Linked DNA regions of Mus musculus. The protein of the gene in region 2 interacts with the protein of the main gene of each other region in a pairwise test. Links are inferred from orthologs where the notes say so. Each region holds a gene or a part of one and is shown on either strand. Other genes may lie near its edges. The genes, in order: Trim23, Gpank1, Ccdc184 and Lzts2.

What was found.
Region 1: the proteins of Gpank1 (region 2) and Trim23 interact in binary tests that used the Homo sapiens proteins (3 or more experiments, as listed by UniProt). The link is inferred for Mus musculus from reciprocal best matches to the Homo sapiens genes GPANK1 and TRIM23.
Region 3: the proteins of Gpank1 (region 2) and Ccdc184 interact in binary tests that used the Homo sapiens proteins (3 or more experiments, as listed by UniProt). The two-hybrid records come from large-scale screens. The link is inferred for Mus musculus from reciprocal best matches to the Homo sapiens genes GPANK1 and CCDC184.
Region 4: the proteins of Gpank1 (region 2) and Lzts2 interact in binary tests that used the Homo sapiens proteins (3 or more experiments, as listed by UniProt). The two-hybrid records come from large-scale screens. The link is inferred for Mus musculus from reciprocal best matches to the Homo sapiens genes GPANK1 and LZTS2.

Annotation. Positions count from the first base shown.
Region 1 is NC_000079.6:104,176,810-104,182,732, forward strand, and holds the start of Trim23 (E3 ubiquitin-protein ligase TRIM23), read left to right. Parts: upstream 1-2,029; 5' UTR 2,030-2,071; coding exon 2,072-2,152; intron 2,153-4,264; coding exon 4,265-4,427; intron 4,428-5,923. Other genes in the region: Trappc13 (trafficking protein particle complex subunit 13), read right to left, coding at 1,305-1,350.
Region 2 is NC_000083.6:35,120,700-35,126,285, forward strand, and holds Gpank1 (G patch domain and ankyrin repeat-containing protein 1 isoform 1 precursor), read left to right. Parts: upstream 1-2,252; 5' UTR 2,253-2,286; coding exon 2,287-2,960; intron 2,961-3,520; coding exon 3,521-3,965; 3' UTR 3,966-4,116; downstream 4,117-5,586.
Region 3 is NC_000081.6:98,165,682-98,171,524, forward strand, and holds Ccdc184 (coiled-coil domain-containing protein 184), read left to right. Parts: upstream 1-2,124; 5' UTR 2,125-2,634; coding exon 2,635-3,210; 3' UTR 3,211-4,453; downstream 4,454-5,843.
Region 4 is NC_000085.6:45,016,130-45,022,094, reverse strand, and holds the start of Lzts2 (leucine zipper putative tumor suppressor 2), read right to left. Parts: upstream 3,961-5,965; 5' UTR 3,865-3,960; intron 709-3,864; 5' UTR 667-708; coding exon 259-666; intron 258-258; exon of another isoform or gene 1-257. UniProt on the Homo sapiens protein: Negative regulator of katanin-mediated microtubule severing and release from the centrosome. Required for central spindle formation and the completion of cytokinesis.

The DNA.
Region 1 (5,923 bases), on a different chromosome or scaffold from region 2:
TGTCTTCTCTTTCTACAAATGAAGAATAATAACAAATACAACTCCCTACCACTGAGATTTTTGGTAGCTTCTAAGTTGTGTGAAATCACACTTAGCAGCTCATATAATTGTTTTAAGTTCATATAGAAATCATAACGATCCATGAAAGAGCTGTTTCATTTTCTAGGAGGCAACAATACCTTAGAAAGATGATTTTTGAATTATTGCCCTGATCTCTTACTAGACATGTTATCTTGGAAAAGCTGCTAGACCTTAAAAGATAAGTTATCTTTTAAGCCCACACACTAGATGTAAGACGGAGATAATGAATATCCAGTAAGTTCCTTTCAAACACATATAATCTATTTTAGTCTAGATCGTGTGGAAGTCTACAGGTCTCATTGTTGTATTGATAAATATTGCAAACCTTCTTAGTTCCACATTCATAGACAGTCATATTAACTGCAGACATCAAAACAGGATTGTAGGTTAGGAATGGAACTGGCGAGCTTCTGGAATGCAAGATGTGTATGGAGCTCACAGAGAATGAGGGAGGAATGTGGAGTATATCAAAAGGGATGCCTTAAAGAAGGTTAAGTGCAATTCAATCTAGTTTAAATGTCTTGTAACCATTTCTCCCTATCAGTTGAAGTCACTGTTAACTTTATAAATGCACATCCCAAAAGCAAGAAAGTGCATTGTGGCAGTAGCAAACATAAAAAAGAGGCTGAAAATGTTTTTAAATAAAAGGTTATCGATAAGCAAATTCAAGGAAAATCTGACCTCTTATCTTTTTTTTTCTGATCAAATTAAATCATTAAAACGTATTCAAAACTTCTGCGTATAGACAGTTAAAGTTGTTAAGATAGTCTAGTCAATTTTCCCACAAACATGATACTACAGTATGAATTAATTTGTAGTATATTTCAACAAATCTAAGAAGTATTAGGTGTAGTTCCACTTATTTCAAATCCTTGGTATTATCGTGCTACACTATCTACAGATAAGTTAAATTCTGGTAACTTCATCCCTGCGCCATGGACAGATTTAGGAGCAATTTTTGAAAAAAACATATCAAATGCCAGCTGAAATTTATGCTGGTTCACAGAGATCTCTGCGGCAGGGTCGAGGCGCGTGAGCTTCAGTGGACAAAACGTGGTGGCTGCGGTAGCAGAGACCTCTCAGAGCTTGGGTTCGCATTTCATTCCAGGAAGAGCAGGAAGGCGAGTTGCCGGGGTTAGGGACAAGGCCTACTTCGGGGATCCTTCGCACAATGAGGGTACAGGCAAACAACAGAGTGAGGAGTCTCAGGTTAGCAAGTTTACCTTTTAGCGCCAGCAGGTGCTCCTGTTTGGGGGGATTCACTTCCATCTTGGCGGGCACTTCTGACCTCAGCCTACGCAGGCTGAAGTTTCACCGGGTCTGGAAGGAAAGTGCAAAGCACAGGTCCCGGAAGATCGGGCTTCAAACGCACGCCCGACTTCTTTCTGCTCGTGAGGACTTAAATTCTCTTGTCACTAAATCCTTTACGGCCCCAGTGAAATCTTTGTACCATGGCCATTCCTTAGCTCAGAAGCACACACTTGCCTCAACCACTAAGGCTGACTACAACGATCCACTTCTTGCTGACAATTCGCGGCTTCCCAAAAGCTTTCATTGCCCGGTGGGGGTGGGGGAGGGCGCTACTGTCATGGCATGCTGGGATTTGTAGTTCATCATATACAAATTTCGCAGTGTACGCGGGGCAGGTGGCATGTAGCTCAGTCCTTTATTCTGATTCGTTTCAGTTCTAGAGAAAAAATATTGTTACAGGAATGTCATTTTCACCATAAAATTTTATTTATGTTCCATACTTAAAAAAAAAAAATTTCTCCTCTCCATTACTCGCAGATGCTTTCATGAAAAACAGTGCGCACGCGCAAGCCGTACAGCCAATGACTGACGGGAGAGAAAAGGTCAGAAGGGACCGAACGGCTCGCCATCTATCCTGCGCATGCGTGAGGGCGGCATGCGCCGAGGCTTCTGGGTAGGACGCTCAACCCCTCCTCTCAGTAAAAGGCTCTCCTGCAGCTGTGGCGCGGCTCCATCCAGGATGGCTGCCCTCGCTGTAAACAAGCCCGGAGCCGGAGTAGACAGTGGGCGGCAGGGCAGCCGGGGGACGGCTGTGGTGAAGGTGAGGGAACTTGCGTGCTCTGTTCTCCACCTGCGGCCTCCCTTCGGTTCGTCCTGGAGACCTGGCCGCGACTGTGTGGCCCAGGCTTGGCCGGGTGGGATGCGCGGCCTCTGGTGGGCGTTACAAGCCTTTCCGCCCTTCCGCGGTCCTTGCCCCGCGGAGCTGAAGTTGCCTGGTCTTCTACCTCAAGTGTCAACGTTGTCCGTGGGGCTGTTTGTGAAAAGCATCGCGTGAAAGTTGACCTGGATTTATTTGGTCTTTCCCCTAGTCTTCTGTTTCTAGTGATGCCTCAACAGGCGTTACTTACTTGACTTGGTTGTATTAAACACTTATTGCAATAGACAAGTACTGTCGTAGATGGTTCAGCTCGCAAATATCTACTTAAAAGGTAGATGTTAAATCGCATTTTACATGGGAGGAACCCTAGGTTTAAGTTAATACAGTATGTGCTAAGGGCTCAGAGTTTACTGGTTGTCAACGTCTGCCATTCAACATTGCCCTGAACAGTAGAGACTGGAAACTTCTGAACTCTCCAACTGCAGCACATTTGGGCTTTAACACTAGATGTATGGAGTTTATAACTCTCTGGTTAGAAGATTCTACCGTCTACTTATTTACGAGCTACATTTACTAAAAATTAAGTGCAAGTGTGAAGATCATTTTCCTCACCCACTGTAACCTAGATCTAAAAGGGGCAGGCGTTTTAGGGAGTCACTCGGAAAGATTATCTGTTGCCAAGAGATTAAACAACAACTCTTTCTGAGTGTGTTGACGACAGGACATTTTTTTAATTCCCAGAAGTAATTTTAATGGACACTTGGATTTATAACAGTGAACCCAAGTCTGGTTGGACATTCTTTTAACTCGTTAAATGGTAGATATCTCTTTCTGTCTCTGTCTCTCTCTATAGCAAAGGTCTGCTTTTGAGGAATATATGCCTACGATGTATTATCAGTCGTATTTTATTGGTGTTGAATCAGTTAACTTTTTATATTAATGAAATTTAGAGAAGCCCTCATTAAGCATATTTTGTGCTTATTGAGATTTAATATTTTGAATTGTGTTTTTGCCAAATGGGAATACTTGCAGAATATTTTGTCATTCTTTTCCTATAATTGGAATATCATGTCTAATTCTCCTTAACACTTCGTTTTACTTTACTCATAAAGTATTCTGCATATGTACATGAAAAACATAACGGTTGTAGTTATGGCATATGAATGCACTATAATTTCCCTTTCAATTTAGTATTTATATGTATCTTTCCTTGTTTTTAATTAATGATACAAATAGTGCTTTAAAGAGTTACACACTGGTTTTGTCATATGTGGGCTGGATGTTATTCACTAGTAGACCATTTACCTGCTATGTGCAGGAACCTGAGATTTCCCAGTGGCAGAAACAGCAATAGCAACAAAGAAGAAAGCACTTGGATCCTGTCATGTATGTATGACGCAGTTTAGAGTAAGTTCCATAAGTACTGCTAAATTGTGTCCATGAATGCTATTATTAGTCAATAGACTTTTTGTATTAGTCAGTGAAATTGTTTTCCTATACTTCTATTAATACAAAACTTTAACAACTTTTTGAAAAAAATATCTTGATGTAGTTATTCTTTGTTCTCTAATGAGTTAGACTGAAATCTTAATATAAAGTTTTCTTTAACATTTAGCAGGTATTTATCTCTTTTTTTTCCCTATGAATTATACCACATTTAAGTTTCTTTTGAATTATTACCAGTATGTGAGGTAACTACAAATTACCAGTTTAATTGTAGTAAAAGAAATTTGTATCTCAGTTTCTAAGTCTAAATGTATTAGAGAATCAAGTTGTCTTCTGACCTCCATACTTGTTCTGTGGCACCTTATATATGTGTGTGCACACACATCCACACATAGAAAATAGCATAAACTTGTAAAAGATTAATGGAGTCATACTATATGTCAAAAATTGAATAATTTATCTATCTATAGAAGAAAGCAAGGGTGTCTCTATTTTAGGTTTTAAAATACTAAGAAACATGCCTGGCTTGGTCAATTGTTTTTAAATCTAAAATATGTGAATATTGTTTCAGTAGTGTTTACAGGGCACATGTTTCTGTTTTATATACAGGTTCTGGAGTGTGGGGTTTGTGAAGATGTCTTCTCTTTGCAAGGAGATAAAGTTCCTCGCCTCCTCCTCTGTGGCCACACAGTCTGTCATGACTGTCTTACTCGCTTGCCTCTGCATGGAAGAGCAATACGTTGCCCATTTGATCGACAAGTAACAGACCTAGGTAGGAAAATTATATGAGGTTAAAGTGAAAAATTATTCAAACACAAATGTCACAGAAAACAAATTTTTACACCTGACTTTTTATGTTACGTTCCAAAGAGCTTTCACAATCTGAGTCTCTACTAAGGTAGATGAGGTCCACTCTTAACTGCCATGGGAATCTGAAACTTCCATAGCTATGCTTAACACAAAAAGCTTTAAGAAGTATCAGAAATATATGCTACCCTTATTCAAAGAAATGAGACTACTTTATTCATCCCAGGTTAAGTCCTACTAATGCTCTGAATACAGAACATGGTTTCTTTTTTTAAATGAAAGGTAATCAAAATATAAAGTCATTCAACTCTCAGTATTTCCTCCCTCCCTCACTCCTTCCTTCCTTTTTTCTCTTCCTTCCTTTCGTCGAGATAGGGTTTCTCTGTGTAGCCCTGGCTGTCCTGAAACTTGGTTTGTGGATCAGACTGGCCTTGACTGAGATCTGTCTGCCTCTAGCTCCCCAGTCCTGAATTAGAGGTGTGCACCACCATGGCCTCCTAGGTCCTTGCATGTTTTTACAACTACTTGGGAATCAGTGTTGACATATTTTAAATGTAAAAGTGTGTGTGTGTGGGTTTACCCAAATCCAGTTAGGTTGGCAGAAGATGCCTTTATCCAAAGATCTATCTCACTGGCTCAGGTTTAGAAAGTACAACATTAACATTTGAACAGTTATTTCACAGTTTAATGTAAATTCTTAATTTATTCTGTAAGATAAAAGAATTTTTCCCAAAATTTTTTAAGGCTGACTTTTTTCCCCTCAGGTGTTTATCAGTACTTAAGACCAGGGCTCGTGGAAGGAGTGAACCGACTCCTGACCTCCATACTTGCTCTGTTGCACCTTATATATGTGTGTGCACACACATCCACACATAGAAAATAGCATAAACTTGTAAAAGATTAGTGGAGTCATACTATATGTCAAAAATTGAATAATTTATCTATCTATAGAAGAAAGCAAGGGTGTCTCTATTTTAGGTTTTAAAATACTAAGAAACATGGCTTTGACATGTTTTCTTAAGGTTGTGGCTGTCTTTATTTCCTAGAAAGCTAATGAAAAACACTAATGATATTACACAGATAATATTAATGTACTATAAGCCATAAAGTAATAGCAGTGGAAACTGTCAATTTTCAGATAATGGTCTTTAAGATTGACGATGATCTGAGGTAAATCTTCCTTTTTGCAACAGTGAGGTGGTCTACATGAGTGGATGCTCAGTGTTCCTCAGCATGCATCGTGAGGAACAGAGCTTTCTCAGCTGCCCTAAACCCTGAGGATTTGCAGGGACAACACAAGTCTGTATTTTGGTTACTTTTAGTTTTTTTTAGTTTTTGTCTTGTTTTGTTTTGTTTTTGTTTTTCGAGACAGGGTTTCTCTGTGTAGCCCTGGCTGTCCTGGAACTCACTCTGTTGACCAGGCTGGCCTCAAACTTAGAAATCCACCTGCCTCTGCTTTCT
Region 2 (5,586 bases):
CTGGCAATAAGTTTCGCTACTTTCCAGAAAATGACAGGTCCTGATCTGTTAGTGTGACCCTCGTCCCTGGCGCTCCTCAAAGCCAGGCCCCTCTCCCCTCCATGTCAGCCGCGACAGGGCCCTCGGCTCCGGCTCCCCACCACCGCAGGTGCCTGCATGTTCCTGGCGCCTGTCCCAAGGCTTCCGAAGTTCATTTTCCCCAACAGAGCCGGCCTCTCCTGCACTCGCAGGGTTGGCGAAGGCACCACACTTCTGTGGGTCTCACGAGCGTCCCCAAAAGCCGCCTCCTCTCGCCCAGGGCCCCCGACCTCCTTCGGCTACCGACCCGGTCACTTCCTTCGTCGCCCCCACATCGAGGAGCTCCAACCAGAGTGCCGCGCCCAGGGACGGGCGACTCGACGCGGGGACAACCCCACACTCACCGGCCGGACGGGGACTGGGACTGGGGCGGGGAAGGGGAGCTGTGCTTCCAAGGAACCGCAGAGACCACTACAGCGCAAAAAGCCGACCCGGCCGCAGCAGACGAAGTAGGGAGGGGGGGGGCCACTGGAAACTGGTGAGGATTTGGGTGAGAAAAGGGCAACGCGCAGGCGCTAAGAACCGCCCCCTACCTCCGTGGACGCCGGGAGATGTAGTCCCGTCGGCAGAGAGAAACTGACGAAATGAGGGGAAGACAAACTACCAATCCCAAGAGGACCCGCGCATGACTCTCTAAGGGCCGCGAGGCCCTAGAGGAAGCCGCCTGGGGGCGGGGCGAACCGAGGCGCCACCGGAAGCGGAAGCGGAGCAGGGGGTCTTCCCGACCAGGAAGCCTGGGAAATATAGTCTTGTTAGGCTCGCTAAGCTGCCGGGTAGGTCCTCGGGCTGATTGTCATCCCTGCGGTGCTCCCTCAGCGTTCCGCTTTGCTTTTTTTTCTCCCTCTTCCCTGTGCCAGGCCAACCCACGGGATCCTGGTTCTCTCGCCAGGCCCGCGACAGAGTGCGCTCGGGCTCCGGCATGCGCAGAGTTGTGGTGAGGGACTTAGGTCGGGTGTGCTTGGGATGCGCTGAGCTGTGCACGCTGCGTGAGAACCTGGACCGCCCTGCGAGCTAACCTGAGGTGGGGCCAGCCATTCTGCCGCCGCTTGTCCCTTTGTACTTCTCCATCTCCTCAGAGCTGGGGTAGAGAGTTGTGCTGATGACCCTGACTGTTCTTCAAACCCTGCTCAGAGCAGTGGTGAGGGGTAACCGTGATGTTACTTCATCTCACAGCTCCTCGGCATCCCACAGGTCTCCCCACTGTGTCCTCAGAGTCTTTCTGAACGCGGAGGGTGGCGAAGGGCATTGTGGGGGCGTTATGTAAAAGCAGGACCCCAACCGACAGGCTCCCCCTTGGGTCCTCGCGCTACTGGGCACGCGATGCTTTACTACGAGGATGCTAGAAAAGGTTCTAGCGCGGGAAACTTGAACCTTATGGATGTTTTGTTGTTGTTGCTCCTGCGCATGCCTCGTTCTGCCCTGTGGCTATTTGATTGTATCCAATCTTACAGATTACAAGAGCGACATTTTGCGGTACAGAAGTGACAATGCAGCTTCCCCAGAAACCTCCCGGAGTAATGTCATGCCTGTTTTTAATCTGGGAAAAGGGGACCCCTAGATAAGATCGAGCAAGATTTAAAAGGTCGACCTGTGCGGGCCAGTGGTGGCGCACGCCTTTAATCCCAGCACTTGGGAGGCAGAAGCTGGCAGATTTCTGAGATCGAGGCCAGTCTGGTCTACAGAGTGAGTTCCAGGACAGCCAGGGCTATACAGAGAAACCCTGTCTCGAAAAAAAAAGGGGGGGGGGTGTCGACCTTATATTTCCTGTATGTGTTAGCGGAATGTTTTCAGAGAGAGCCTGGCATTTTTGTTTGTAGGAAGATGGGAGTTGAATACAGAACCCATTAACAACTGTCTTGTAGAATATTTTTTTCCTGTTACCCTTTTTCTTTTCTGTGTTATTGATAGAATCTAGAATTCTCAAATTTGAAACAAGCATTCTACACAGATTCATATCTACTATGCCCTCATGAAATTTTATTAACATCATGACAGGATCTGTTGTTCCTGGGGTCTGTTTTACCCATCCCATCGTGACAGGATCTGTTGTTATTCCTGGGGTCCCTTTTACCCATGAGGCCCGGGCTCCACAGAATCCTAACTATGAAGTCAGTTTTGGGATGGGAGGCCCATTTTAGTTCTAGGCTGCTTTCCCATCTCAGCGGGCCCCCAGAGGTGGTGCTGGTCATCTTCACAATAGCTACCTGAATGGTTGGATCGCTTGCTTGTCACATCCTTGCCTTGCCCAGTCTTCATTTTCTTGTTTCTCTCACAGGCATGTCTAGGCCATCCTTCATCGAATTTACCCCAGCGGCTGACTCCAGTGACCTCTGGAAGGATGGGCAGCAGCAACCACAGCAGGAGAAAGCAGAGCCTGTCCTGGACGGGGCTGCTGCCCGGGCTTTCTATGAGGCTCTAATCGCAGATGACAGTAGTTCCTCTAAGCCCCAGAGAGCTGAACCTATGAGGGAGAGGAAGAAGAAGAGAAGAAGAGTGACTAGGGAGCCTGCAGCAGCAGGAGTCCCCAGACAAGGAAGAGCACTTGAGGATGAAGACAGGATGGCCCAGTGGATCCTGCTGGCAGCCCAGAATGGGGATCTGACAGAACTCCGGAGGCTGCTAGAACCCCAAGAGGCAGGGGGAGCTGGAGGGAATATCAATGCTCGTGATGCCTTCTGGTGGACTCCCTTGATGTGTGCTGCCCGAGCAGGCCAGGGCGCCGCTGTGCGCTATCTCCTGGGCCGAGGAGCTGCCTGGGTTGGAGTCTGTGACCTGGGAGGCAGAGATGCTGCCCAGCTGGCTGAAGAAGCAGGCTTCCCTGAGGTAGCCCGTATGGTCAGAGAGAGTCATGGAGAGACAAGGAGCCCTGAGAACCAGAACCGGTGAGGAGGGAGCCTTCACTTACACCCATCTTTATTGTGTTCTTCCTTTCCTGGGCACCTCATACTAAGGGCCCACAGCAGCTAAAGGGGGCTATTCATCCTCTGGCATATTCAGTCATAGAGTAACAATGGGCGTGGTCTTTGTGCATTTGAATCTTGGTTCCATTTATTTGCAGTGCCAGCCTAAAGTCTGCAAATCTCAGTCCTTGTCTGAGAATTGGGGCTAAGACTTTTTCCTCAAAGGGGTGTTAAGATACAGTAGGTTAATGTGGAAAGAGATGGGGTAGGATGGGATGGTGCTTGTCACACAGTTTGCACTTTATAAATGCCAGCACTACTCATTATTCCTGAGAGCTTGAGGCCTACCTGACAGTATTCCAAATATTCCCTACTGGGAAGACCCTGGGGCCCCTTTCCAAGACAAGATACAACCAAAAGATGCTGCTGACATTGGGAGAAAGGCAAAAAGTACTTTGCTCTGCTCTGCCTGGTGCCTGAACAACTTGAGGCTCTGTTCATCTTTTTTTTTCCTCCCCTATAACATATTTCTTTCTCTGCAGATCTACCCCCTCCTCGTCCCAGTTCTGTGAGGACTGTGGTGCCCACTTTGAAGACTCCAACCACCACACATCTACTGCTCACCTGCTGTCACTGTCCAGGAGACCCCAGCCCTCCAACCTTCCCCTTGGGGTGCCCACTTCCAGTCCTGGCTTCAGGCTACTGCTGAGAGGTGGCTGGGAACCAGGAATGGGGCTAGGACCCCGGGGTGAAGGCCGTGCCAACCCTATCCCCACTATCCTCAAGAGGGACCAGGAAGGATTGGGTTATAGATCCCCACCCCAACCCCGAGTCACACACTTTGCAGCGCGGGATACCCGGGCTGTGTCTGGGAGAGAGAGAGTCCCTCGAGTTGCCACACTGAGTCAGAGGGAGAACAGAAGGCAAGAAGAAAAGGGCAGAGCCTGGGAGCGAGATCTAAGACTGTACATGAACCTCGAGTTCTGACTGATATGGACTGGCCCTGGTCTGTCACTCGCTGGACTTGGGCCTCTGACTTGGACACTTGGACTTCCGAACCCTTAGGCCTTAGCTGTTGGGCTCTGATTTTAGAGAGAAGGGCGGAGAGTTGGGAGATAAATAAACTTCCTTCCTTGTGGTTTGTTTACTTTCTTGAATGATATAGTAGGGAATTGGAACAAATCTGAGAGTCACATAGAAGTCTCACCTGAGCCAAAAGGACAAGCTCTCCGGGTGACAAAAGAGAGTCCCCAGTCCTGCTGGCTGCATTCTACCTGCTCCTTGAATCCCCGCCCCCACACACACATTAGGAATTGCCCCACTTTGTAAAACACCCCTCTGAGTATGTGTCTAGGCCAGTCAAGTCAGTGACAAGTATCACAAACCAAGTGTGCTATGTGTTGGAGAGGGGCGGGCATAGCTTGGTTAGAGCACCTGCCTAACACTGGGAAGACCCTGGGTGGGGCCCCTCTCCAAGACAAGATGCATCCAAAAGATGCTGCTGACATTGGGAGAAAAGCCAAAGATACTTTGCTCTGCTCTGCCTGATACAAACCTTGAACTTGAGGAAGCCAGCTGTGATGAAGTGTAATACCTTGTGGTAGGGAAGTTAAAAGTCCCCAGAGAGGAAGTAGAGTCCTGCAGGATTGGCCAATACAACTAATGTCATCCAACCTGTGTGACATTCTAGCTGTGACCAGAGCTCTGACCTCCCAGATAAAAAGTTCAAGATGAACTTTTTTTCTTTTTGTTTTTTGAGACACAGTCTCTCACTATGTGTAGACCAGGCTGGCATCAAACTCAGCTAAAACTGGTTCTGGAGTGCTACATGGGGCTTAACCTAGGGCTTCATACCTGCTTACTGAGTTAGGATTCCAAGGCTTAAGGCAGTCCTAAGAGATCATTTCACTCCCTGAAAACCAGGCAATATGCTTTTCTACACTTCTCTTACGTACTTGGCACCCCCAATCCCTTGAGATGCTTATACAGAGTGCTAGGAACATGAAAGCTTTCAAATCCCAGTCTGGAAGGCCAAAGGGCGGCTGCTTAAATCACGTGGCTCCTGTTATTTACCTTTCTGGACCAGCATTACAAGATATCTCAGGTGAGAAATGGAGGAATGGCGGGGGTTGTGAGAAAGAACCACAGAGAGGCTGGAATCGTCACACAGGGAAGCAGTGGCAAGAGGATCGACTCAAAGGCAGTCTGGGCAACATATGTCCAAGCCTTTCCTGAGCTATATATATCCTGAGCTATATATATATATATATATATATATATGGATCTAAGCTACATATATAGGGGACCTGTCCTTAAAAACAAAGCTGGGCAGTGGTGCAGCGTGCCTTTAATCAAGGAGACAAGAGGCGGGCAGATCTCTTTTGAGTTCAAGGCCAGTCTGGTCTACCGAGCTAATTCAAGATAGCTAAAGTTACATTGAAAAACAAAACAAAAAAATCCCAAACTAAGGGCTAGAATACCTAACCAGTGTCAGCGGCGGGAAGGTCTGGGAGGTGAGCAGCCGAACCCGGGTTCGTGCTCAGGGTCTGGTCTTAGGTGGTCCTCTCTCTACGCCTGCGCTAGTGAATCGCGGGGGCTTCGGAGGAGG
Region 3 (5,843 bases), on a different chromosome or scaffold from region 2:
TGATGGCATAACCCAGCTCCTACTGAGCAGGGCTAGGTCTGACGTAAGCCTATCTTGGCAGCAAACGTGGGAAGCATTTCACTGAGAACAGGATCGGTCTTCAAGGGTAGAAGGCAGGGAGCACTCTGGAAGAGAACCATCAAGATAGAATTCTTCATGCGAGGTGCCACAGAAGAGATGGGGAGGAATGGCCCATGGCAGAAAGACTGCAGAACATGCCAGTCTTTTCTTACTATAGTAAGGTTCCCATGGGAGGGACGACAGCAGGACTGGTCCTGCAAAGCTCTGAGAACCTTTGCTACATCGTGATTAGATGTCATACTGGGTAAGCTCAGCTGCATCTTGCCTCTGTTTCTAGTTCTCCTGTAGTTTGAAAACAAAACAAACAGCAGACATTTGCACACGAGTGCATGTGTGTTATGGTGAGCCTGTGAGAGTCAAAGTATAACTCTCTGTGCCGAGGGATACCAAGAAAAAGTGTTCTGCTCTTTCATGAGCCAGCTTAGGGATCATCTAAAGTTTATTGACCATGTATGGCAAGAATGGCAGAGGCAAGAGCAACAACAAATTTGTTGAAGGAGCAAGGAAACAAGATTAATCATTAGTTTTTAGAAAGCAATACTGCATGGTGTGTGTGTGTGTTCATCTTTGTTTTGGGGAAATCAAATTTCTCACATCTGTCCAATATATGTCTTAAGTTATTTATGTAAACATTCCGACCCTGGGCACTTTAAGATAGTTTAATTTGCTTTTATTTTAACAGTAGCAGTAAGACAGGCATAGATGAATCTGTTCTTTGGTGCCTCAAAAACCTGGCTGGACACTCTTCATCGCCAAGACATACAACCAGGGAAATTAAAAAACACACTTGCAGTTACTGAACTACAGGTGACCAATGACACTCACCCACACTTAATTTTTTATACAGTTAGACAGCACTGTTCATTTACTTCTCCTTCCCAGAGTCTTGTAAACTCAGGGTTTTGACCACTTGGCTTCCTTTTATCAAAGCGATGTCAGCGTGTTATAGCCTACAAGATGACTACCTTCCCAGCCTATGTCGTCTCTAAATATATTATAACCAAATTTTCTTCCTCCTCCTCTTCTCCTGCTCTACCCTCTAAGTAGGGGAAGGAGTTTTCACAAAGGACAGGGGTGGTTAGTGGGCATCTAAAGATGGGAACTAGGGGCGCTGGCCCTAATAATTCACTCAATTGCACTTCGGTCCAGTGTTAACTCAGATTTAGAAACACTATTATTCGGTCCGTCAAGAAAACGATGTCAGCTGAGGTCTCTCAGTCATTAAGGGCTGAAAGGAAATTGTATTCAGGTCTTCTGAAGTCCACTATGTGTGGGCTGGAGAATCCTGGGGAGGAGAATGGTACTTGGTGGCTCTTATTTAAGTAGCTATTCCACAAATACATCATCTGCTCTCTGCGTCTCGGACGCTATTTAAAGCGCTGGGGATTCCGTGATGGAGGGTGCAGGGGAGGGGAATCTGTTGTTATGGAGTTTTCATTCTCGGAATTTAAGTACTTAGCTTCATAATTTTCATACCCCCCCAACCTGGGTAGAAACAGCTGGGTCCCATAAGAGACTGTATCTCACCCTGAGCTTTCTGGAGGGAGGGAAAATTGTTTTTTGTTTTTTTTTTTTTTTTTTTTTTTTTTTTTTTTTTTTTTTTGCTGCAGAAGGGAGAAGCAGATCGGTCGCGCCTCCCTCCGCCTTCCTCTGCACCTCCAAGCCTGGTGCTGCCAGCTCGCCTGGGATTATTAACAATCGCTACCCAGTCCTGTGGGCCGCTGGAGGATGGACCTGGCTCTCCCATGGTCCTCCAAGGAAGGAATGCGGAGAGCGGGTGAAAAGCCCCCCCCCCCCCCCCAGGCAGACGGTCTCTCTCCGGCTTGGGGGTGGGGGTCGTGCAGCAAACTGCTTTCTCATGCTGTCCTATTAAACATTGCAGCCACATGCTCTTTGCAGCTTCTCTGAGGCTACTGCAGCATCCCTGCCCCGCCCGTCAGCCCATACAACAGAGCTTCACTGCAGCTTCGGAACCCTGTTCTCTTTCTTCCTCACTTCCTCGTTGCCATGGAGACACACGTCATTTACGTGCCGTGCGTCGCCTTGGAAACGGGGGAGCATCCGCGGCGCCGCCGGGAGACCCGCCCCTGCCTCTCCAGCCGCACTCGCGGGCACTGCTGGTGGATGGCTGGGGGGAGTCCCGAGACTGACGCGCTGCGGGTCCCCGTCTCGACCCCGAGCCCTCTGCGAGCGCCTCTGTGACCTGTGAGCACTCTTTGTCGGTGATTGCCGGGAGGGCGGCGGGGACATAGGTACCACACTGGAGGCGAGCGGGCAAGCCACTTTTGCCCCCTGGGTAAGCCCGAAGATCCTGGTCCCGGGACCCTAGACAGGTCTTCGATCCATAGACTCTTCTCAGCCCTCCTTGATCCCGCCCGTGTCCTCTGCCTGGGGCCGCTCTCTTCACGTAGGCTCCCCGCCCCTCTAGGGAGCCTAGGTGTCCCTGGGCTCCACCCCGTCCCTCCCGGGACCTCTCCCCCTCCACACCCTTCCCCCACCCTGGAGGCCCGCTGGACACGACCCAGAGCTGCCACCGCCCGCTTCTGCCACTCAATGGAGGACAGTCTGCTGGAGATCATGACCAAGGACGGCGGCGACATGCCAGCGCCTCTGGAGGTGTCCACGGTGCCCGCCGTGGGGGACGTGATCTCTGGGGAGTATAACGGCGGTATGAAGGAACTGATGGAGCACCTGAAGGCCCAGCTGCAGGCCCTGTTTGAGGACGTGAGGGCCATGCGAGGGGCACTGGACGAGCAGGCCTCGCACATCCAGGTTCTGTCGGACGACGTGTGCGCCAACCAGCGGGCTATAGTCTCCATGTGCCAGATTATGACCACTGCGCCCCGCCAGGGAGGCTTGGGCGTGGCCGGCGGCAAGGGGAGCTTCCCAAGTGTTCCCCATGAACCAGAGACACCTTCGCCTGGGATCGAGGACAGCGGCTTGCTGGGTCGTGATCCTGATGAAGACGAGGACGAAGAGGAGAAAGAGACACCTAACCCCGCCACACCCACCAGTCACTGCGAGCTCTCTGAGAGCCCCGGTCTCCTTGGGGAGGATGGGCCACTTGTGGAGCCCCCCGACCTTCCTGACATTACCCTGCTGCAGCTGGAGGGCGAGGCCTCTCTGTGAGGGAGACCCCACCAGGGAACCAACTACCCGCGCTGGCTTTGGGTTTCCAAGTGCTTAACCCGAGGGGACTGAACAGTGCGGTGCAGTGTTCTTCACTTCAAACGTGGTCCTTATAGGTCAGGGAGAGAGACTCCCTCACAGAAGGATTTGTAGAGTCAAGGACTTTGGAAGCATCGCGAATTCCACCCAAGCAGGCATCATAGCAAACTGCAGAAAGGTGAGGTTCCCAGAAAGGACGTGCCCATCTCTGGACTCTCATCTATCCCTTTACCTTGCCCCCTTCCCCTCTTCCTAGGAAACAGGAGGACCATTGAATTATGTAAATAAAATTCTGCTTTTTCTATTCTGAAAAAGGAGTCATCTAGGACTTTGGCAAATAATCTCTATTTACCTAGAAATTAAGGAGTTGGGGTATTCTGTTCTGGCAACAGGAAATTTACCCTTTTCCCCAAACCCAAGATATTCAGTGCTCTGCGGAAACCTCTCCCCCTTACAGATCGCTCTGCAACTGCTGATGGGTAAAGGAAGCTTGAGGAGGGAACTGCGGCCCTAGGAGTCAGGGTACTCGGGTTCCCAGGGCCCCTAGGCTGGGAGGAGCTGGCTCTGATGTGCATGAAGACACAAGAGCTCAAGCTCTGGCACTGAGCATGCAGAGCCGAGCCTGCCCCGTCGCTGACTTCACCTGGGATTGCTTGGCCACTCACCTGGGCCTAGAGAACAAAGTGCTCAGGTCGCAGGCAGAGACTTAGGACTGCTCAGCAACTGTCCAGATTTAAGGGGACATCTGAGGAACTCTTGGGGGAGGGGGCGCTGCAGCCCCAAGCTGTCTTTTCTGGCTATACCTGCTTAACTTCAGTTCCTTTTATTATTTTTTTTTTCCTGTCAATATGTCGGTACCCTCTGCTTTCTGGTGTTGCCTCCATAATGTCTTGTGTTATGTGTGTCCACTTGTGTAGTAGTGTGTGAGCCCTCAGGGGCAGGGCTTGTGGCTCTAGTATTAGGTTCAGGGGGCTTCAGACCCGTCTGCAAGCCCCAGGCTATCATGGCGCTTTCTGCTCTTTTCCCTTTTATGCCCCACTCCTCAACCCAGGGCACGGAGCATGTGGCTGTCCTGAGTGTCCTTAACTGATGTGCTCCTACCTTCCGAAGTGGTGACTGTGTGTGCCCCTTCCCTCCTCTGTGTATCCTTTCTTAGTGCTTTGCTTGATGTCAACCTTAATAAAAAGGCACCATCTCCCCTCTTGCTGACTGGTACTAAGTGGGTTTAAGGCTGGGGCTTCTGGGTCTGCTGTGTGGATCAGGGCTTAGGAGAAAATGTAGGGGACCAATGCCTTCCCTCCTCTCTTCTTGCCTCCAGTCCCAAAGAGTTAACTGACTTTGTCCTGGTTGGGACAAGCTTGCCAGCTCTGTCTGCTTTCCCTTCTGCCCTGGACCTTGATCCAATGTGGACCTGGAAAATGCAGAGATCTGCCTGGAAATACCCGGCCCGGCTAACAAGGGTTTTGGTAGCCAGCACTCCACACCTGCAAGAGATTTCAGTGAAGCAAGCCATGGGGGTGACTTCTGAGTGAGAGCCCTGGTACAGCAGGCATGCCACCTGTTCTAGGGATGGAGTGGGAGTCACTGTTCTGGAGGGGTTGCCCGGGGTTTCTGGAGTGGAGTGACACATCACTAAGGAAACCACAGGCACTGCCTCAGGCCTCTAGTGGAAGATGTGGGCAAGGTACTCCCCGGGGAGTCAACACTGACATCATCTCGAGGCTGCTCCCTCGGGAGATGGAGATTTCCTGAGGCTGCCCCAGAACAAAGGTTGAGAGCCGACTATGATGTGTGTGTGTGTGTGTGTGTGTGTGTGTGTGTGTGTGTGTGTGTGTGTGAGTGAGAGAGAGAGATGTAAATTACTTCTGTTACAGAGAAGGCTAAAGGACACTGAAGGGTTTGATGCAGGTTTGAGTTTTTAATTCCAACACTGAGTTGACTGCCTAAGACTTGCTCTTCACAATGCATATGCTAGGAATAAAACTATGACTCCTAGGACATCTTGTGCAAATGTTAGCTTCTCGGTGGTTCTCCTGGCCAGGTAGAGTGGGGATGACTCCTCCAGCGAAGCAGAACCCAGGGAAGGTCTAGAGACAACTCCCCACCCCGGGTTTTAAATGCTTATTACTGATGTACCTGTGCATTTGTGCCTCTGTGTACGCACGTGCACAAACGGTGCCCACAGAAAAGCCAGGAGAGAACTGTTTGGGACGACACCAGAGGAAGCCTTGAGGTATACAGTCCTTGGGTGACAAACTGGGATTCAGGCAGGTGGGAGCTGATGGACATGGTGTTGAGGACACTCAAGTCCCCCGGGAGAGTGGCACATGTTTATAATCAAGACGTTTCTCCAGCTTTTATTTTGCAGGTCAACTTTGTGCCATCCCTCCTTTTTCCCTCTTGTTCTTCTTTAGACGGGGTCTCACCACATAGTCTGGATAGCCTGGAGCTTACTATGTAGAACAGACTGGCCTCTGACACACAGAGATCCATCTGCTTTTGCCTCTTGAGTAAACTCCTTTAATGTAATCTTTTCCTACATAAAGAACCCTTACCCTTGAGGACAGAATTAAGGAAAAGGGCATGGTTAGCGT
Region 4 (5,965 bases), on a different chromosome or scaffold from region 2:
TAACTCAGACAATTACTATATTGTTCATTTGAGGTTGCTGGGTACTTTACTATGTATTAATTCTAACAGGAACCTACAAAGATTAGCCTCTAACCGTAACCATAAAGACACAGAAAACGGGGCTCAGACAGGTTATTTCACTGTCTGAGTGGTAAGACAGAACCCATATTCTTTGCTCTACTGACGCTTCCAAATTCTAGCTTCCCTGAGGGGCTCCTGGCTTCCCACCCAGGTCCTCCCAAAAGGGCTGCCCGTTACCTTCTCCAGCTTTCCAGAGACAGGGATGAGCTTTGGTGGGGGCCCACGGAGGTGGGCATTGTGTGCCTGATGTTCCCGGGGATCTTCAACATCACTGCTGGGGCTGGGAGGAGACTCTGTCCGGAAGTCCTCATTGACATAGGTAAAGCTATTGCCTGGGACAGCCTTCCTCGGTGGCACAGCCGGGCAGAGCGGTTCCTGTGCCTCGTAGCCACCCGGTAGCAGCCCATCCTGCTGGCGGAAGAAGGTGGGCCCAGGGACACCATGATGTCGTTGAGGAGCAGGTCCCCCGGGGCAGGGCCGGCCTGAGATAAGACTGCTCACGCTGCCCATTGCTGGAGTTTTGGGGGCAGTGGCTGTCTCACGTGCGGGCTCCAGAGGCACTGGCAGAGTGTGCACAATGGCCATGGTGGCAGAGGCTCAGGTCTGGCCAGGGGCCTCCGGGGCAACCTGTGAGCAGGGCATTGGTGTCAGAGTCCCTGCACCTTGAGGATCCTCCCCCTATAAGCCTTCTCCTGACCCCCTCCTCCAGATAGAACATTCCCCATTTAGGAAAAAGGCTTCCCTTCCAAGAACTGGCATGAACCTCGAGTTCCTCTGGGCCTCAACTCTAGTCTGGAACAAGGCTAAGGAATAACTTGACCACACAGAGAGGAAGGAATGGGAGATCTAAACATTTATACAGGGTTCCTTGGCAGAGAAGACCTAGTTTAAGCCCCAACCTGTATCCCCTATATAGCCAAAGACTCAGATTGGGCAGAGATCCCTAACTCTAGCTCCCAGTACAGGTCCCTACTCTCCTGGGACAGGTGGCCTCATTACTGGGCTGTTTGGGCAGAGGACACGTCAGGGATGCAATCAGCAACTCAGATGGTAATTAGGGAACAAAGAGTCAAAGCCAGGCGCTGTCCAGCCTCCCACCACTGGGCCTCAGTTTCTCCCAGACACTCAGGCGGCTTCGAGGGTGGAGCTGGCCAAACAGGAAACCTTACAGGTCTTAGGAATCCACAGGTGCCCTCTGGGGTCTCTCCTACCTCCCAGAGGTTGATGCAGGCTGTGCTTGTTTCCATGTCACTCTTAGCTTCTGCCATCACTCGGGACTAAGGGAGCCTACCCAGGCCCTGTCCCACTGCCAACCTTTATAAACCTTCCTGCTTTAGTTGATCTTCAGAATAACCCCTATGGAATTTGAGCAGGAGCCCATTACCACGTCTAGTAGGAGCTCAAGTAAGATGGCTGGCTCCGCCTCCCCTAGTCTTACTCCTTCCTGGAAAGAACAGCAAGCCTGCACCCAGAACGGAACTCCCGCCCAGTCCCAAGGCTGCCGATGACCAAGACTTAGGCATCTGCTGAAGTCATCACAGAGCAAAGGGGCCAAAAAGTGGACTGAGGATCCATGAGAAAGAAGAATGTGTGTGTGTGTGTATGTGTGTGTGTGTGTATGTGTGTGTGTGTGTACATTTACTTGTGGGTGTGAGTACATAGACAGGGTCATAAAAAAATGAACAGTATCTGTGAGAATATGCATGAAACTGTGCAGTCCATGTGGGTTTAGACAGATGTCAGTACGTTCATACATGTGTGTATATGTGTGTGTGTGATGTAGGGGACATGACAAAACCAAACAGGGTTGTGCTATGTACCATAGGTGGGCCTCAAACTCAGATCCTCCTGCCTCAGAGAGCTGGGATTCTAACCTTGTGCAAATATGCCGAGCTGTATGTGTGGTTTTTTTTGTTTTTGGTTTTGGTTTTGGTTTTTCGAGACAGGTTCTCTCTGTATAGCCCTGGCTATCCTGGAACTCACTCTGTAGACCAGGCTGGCCCTGAAATCAGAAATCGGCCTGCTTCTGCCTCTGCTTCTAAAGTGCTGGGATTAAAGGTGTGCGCCACCACTGCCCACTGTGAATTCTTTTTTGCTGTTTTGTTTGTTTTTTGTTTGTTTGTTTTTCCAAGACAGGGTTTCTCTGTGTAGCCCTGGCTGCCCTGGAACTTGCTCTGTAGAGCAGGCTGGCCTTGAATTCAGAGATCCACCTCTTACTGCCTTCTGAGGGCTGGAATTAAAGGCGTGTGTGTTACCACCACCAGGCTGTATGTGTGAATTCTTATGTTTTACAAAGTTATGAGTTTCGTAACTTAGAAAGCACACCACACAGTTATTAATGTGTATAAAACAAATGAATCTGTGGGCTCTGGATGTCACTATATGGCAAAAAGAGAAATGTTTGGATAGATATACCAGTTTGTGCACACATATGTGAGGTTTGTGTAAATACCACTAAATCTTCCAGTCACCTATCCTCAGTAAGCCATTCTGCTTCTTCTCCTAGCATGAAATTCTAGGGAAAATCCTCCTTTCTTTGGGTCCATTGAGTCAAGTCTCTCATAGACTGAGACACACAAATCTCTACAGGACGCCTGCAGTTCTCCTGGGACAGTTACATGGATTCCTACTGTACACAAGAAAAGTGTGTGAAAGCTCCCCAGGACCAATCTGTATAAGTGAGCGTTCTGGGAGTGCATGAGGACCTGGGTGACATTCAAAGCCACCAATGTGAATGGGGACTCCTCCTCCCTAAAACTTTTTTTTAACTTAAGAGTTTGAGGAAAGGTGAGATCACAGTGCCTGACGCCCTTGCCCCATCTTATCTTTGTATATTGTTCTCCACTAAGTGCCTCTAAGTGTTAAGACCAGAGACTCACAGGAGTCCAGCGTGAGGAAGGAGTTGCTAAGAGCTAGGGTAGGAACTGAAGTGTAGCAACTTCTCTGTAGGGTAGGTACTGAGATCGCCCCCAAAAGGTCCAGCCTAGGGATGGAGACTGCTCCACAGTATAGTGAGGAGTGAGAAGGGGCTGGCACTCCTGTCCCTACTCCAGAGGACACAGAAAGTGAGACCCAGAAGGAAGGGCAAGGGCCGGGGTAGACACTCAGAGAGACAGGAGCCAGAAGACAGAAGAGACAAAGGCCAAGAGGCTCAGACACGAGGAGCCAGAGGCAGACCCATGAGTTAGGGTCGCTGAAGCTACACAGGCAAGGACCCCTAAAGCCAGAGGAGCCACAGAGCTGAGCTCTGAGGGCCAGGCGTCAGGAAAGCCAGGCCTAGCCAGCCTGGCTCCCGCTTTTGAGGCCCAAGAGAGAAGGAGGGGCAAGCGGCTCCATTTTGAGAAATGCGTTTGTAGCTGTGGGAAAAAGAAAGCCCTGGTTCTCCCCAGCACTCCCTGACCTATCACTATGGTACACAGACCCCTGCGCCCCCACCCCAGCAAGTAAGCTGGGGGTTCTAGAGTCTGGGGCCGCGCCAGGGCCTGAGATGAGTCTGGCCCACGTCCCAACTCTCTGACCTCAGGGCTGGGGTTGGAGAGTTGGGGAAAGTCCCCCCAAACACACACACTCAAACTCCAGAGACCAGTCAAGCAGGATCCAGTCTGGGATCACGAGTTGCCATTCCGAGACTGAAAGCCCAGAGTCGTCGTGTCCCCCCACCCCCCCCCCCGCCACCCACAATAGTCCGCTCCTTCCATAAACTGGGGGCGTCTATGGAATGCCACCTCCCCACCGGACCGCATCGCTTAGAAGTTGGGGCACCCTCAGCCCTGGACCCCTCACCTCCGCCGCGCTGCTCCATGCTCAGCCCCGGGCCGCCCCAGCACTCCACAGGCGCGCCGCCCGCTCCAGCCCGCGCGCGGCCACTCGGAGCTGCCCGGCTCGGCCCCGCCTCCGCCCAGCCGGCGCCCCCGGCCCTGACCGGCCCCCGCCCGGCCCGAGTGGGCGGTGCGCACTGATGGGGGGAGGGGTCCGAGGGGCGTTCCCGCCCCGGGGAGCGGACACGCGCAAGTAACCCACGTCACGCGTGCCAGCCAGGGCGCACGCGGGGGCTGCTCGGCGGCGCTCGGGATTCCTCCCAGAGTGGCCTAGCAACTGTGTGTGTGTGTGTGTGTTGTGTGTGTGTGTGTGTGTGTGTGTGTGTGTGTGTGTGTGTGTGTGTGTGTGTGTGTGTGTGTGTTAAGTGTGGTGTGTGTGTGTGCTCGGTAGCGCTCGGGATTCCTCCCAGAGTGGCCTAGCGACTCTGTGTGTGTGTGTGTGTGTGTGTGTGTGTGTGTGTGTGTGTGTGTGTGTTAGGAGGCTCGGCCGGCTCGAGACTCATCGAGCCGGGTCACCATCGCCTATCCCTGCCGGAGCCCAAGGGCCAGCGGCAGCTGGTCATTGTTCCAGCACAAAGAGCCAAGGCGCGGCGCCAGCCCCGCCCCTCCCCCTCCGCTCCTCTAGGAGAAGCTTCCCTCCTCAGTCTCCAGCTTCCCGGTCCATGGGGAGGCCGAGGGGGTCAGCCATCCCTCTCCAGTTGCCGGCTCCTGGGCACAAGTTGAGGGACTGGCTCGGTCGCTGTCTGTCCCACCCCCAGCAGGCTGGAGGTCACACGCTTGGATTTTCCAAATCGGCGCCACCTGGTGGCCCTTTCCAGCAACTTACCAGCCCCCCCCCCCCAAGACCCCCACCAATCCCACTCCCTTTCCAGCACAGCACCCTCGGGCCGCGAGCCCAGGCTTGTCCCTGGCATGGCTCCAGCCTCCCTAGCCGAACCTCGGGGGTCATTTGCTATGAGAAGGGTCGCTGCTCAAAGGGGGTGGGAGGGATACCTGACCCCCAATAATCTCAAGAACGAACAGCTCAAACCTACACTGGCTCCGCAGCAGACATCCCAAAGTCTCTCTTGGGGTCACAAATATTTTTACCCTCTCGAAAACAACAGTCTTAACACCCACACGACCTTTCCCACATTCAGTCTCGGGCAGCCACAGTCAGTCTCATCCATCACGTGGCTCCATAGATCTTCATTCCATAATCCTTCAGGCCAACTCACAGAAGGCTTGGTGTTTCGTGCACGGGAGAGTGCACAACAGTCCTTTGCATCCAGTCACATTCTTTAAATACACTCAGCCTCCCAACCCTCTTCCACGCAATGACAGCCGGATTCAGCCACTCTGGAAACTTCTTACATCATATTCACAAACTACCCACTTTCCCTGAGGGGTCTCTGTGACCTGCTCAGGTCAGCCGACCTCACATGTTCTGGCAAGGCCATCCTCCCTTCCCCGATCCCCCCCGCCCCCCCCCCCAAGGTCTGCCAGAGCTGGGCTCAGCCCCAGGAAGAAGCACCCCCCCCCCTTCCAGGCCACAGCCTGGCCGGCTCTCAGCTCTATTTTTAGCTCCATGGAAAGGGTTGTTTTTCTTTCTTTTTCCCTGGAAAGGAAAACACAGCCTAGCCACCCTCAGGCTCACTCCAGCCCCTCAGCTTCACAAGAACATACCGAACCCCTCTCCCTAACAGAAACCCCCTCCTCTGGCCTTGCCCTGATCCCTGCCTCCTGGGGCACCGAGAACCTCCTCCCCTTTCTGGCCTCCAGCCCAGAAGCTCAGGCAGCAGCTGGGCTCAGCATGTGGCCGGGTGAGGGGTGGGGGGAATGAAGGATGGGGGCCGGAGGGGGAAGAGGCTGCAGCCCCCTCTTTCACTTTCAGAGAGGGGACTCTGATCTTTCTTCCACCTAGAGGAGACACACTCCCCTTAGGTTTAAGGATATATTTACTCTTGGTGCGTTCCCTTTGAGGAGGGGTGAGGGGAGACTCTTCTCGCTTGAGTGGGCTATTTGTGCCCAGTCCTGCAAGGGGTGGAGGTGGCGGTAGGAAGAGGACGTAAAGACAGAGCTGTATG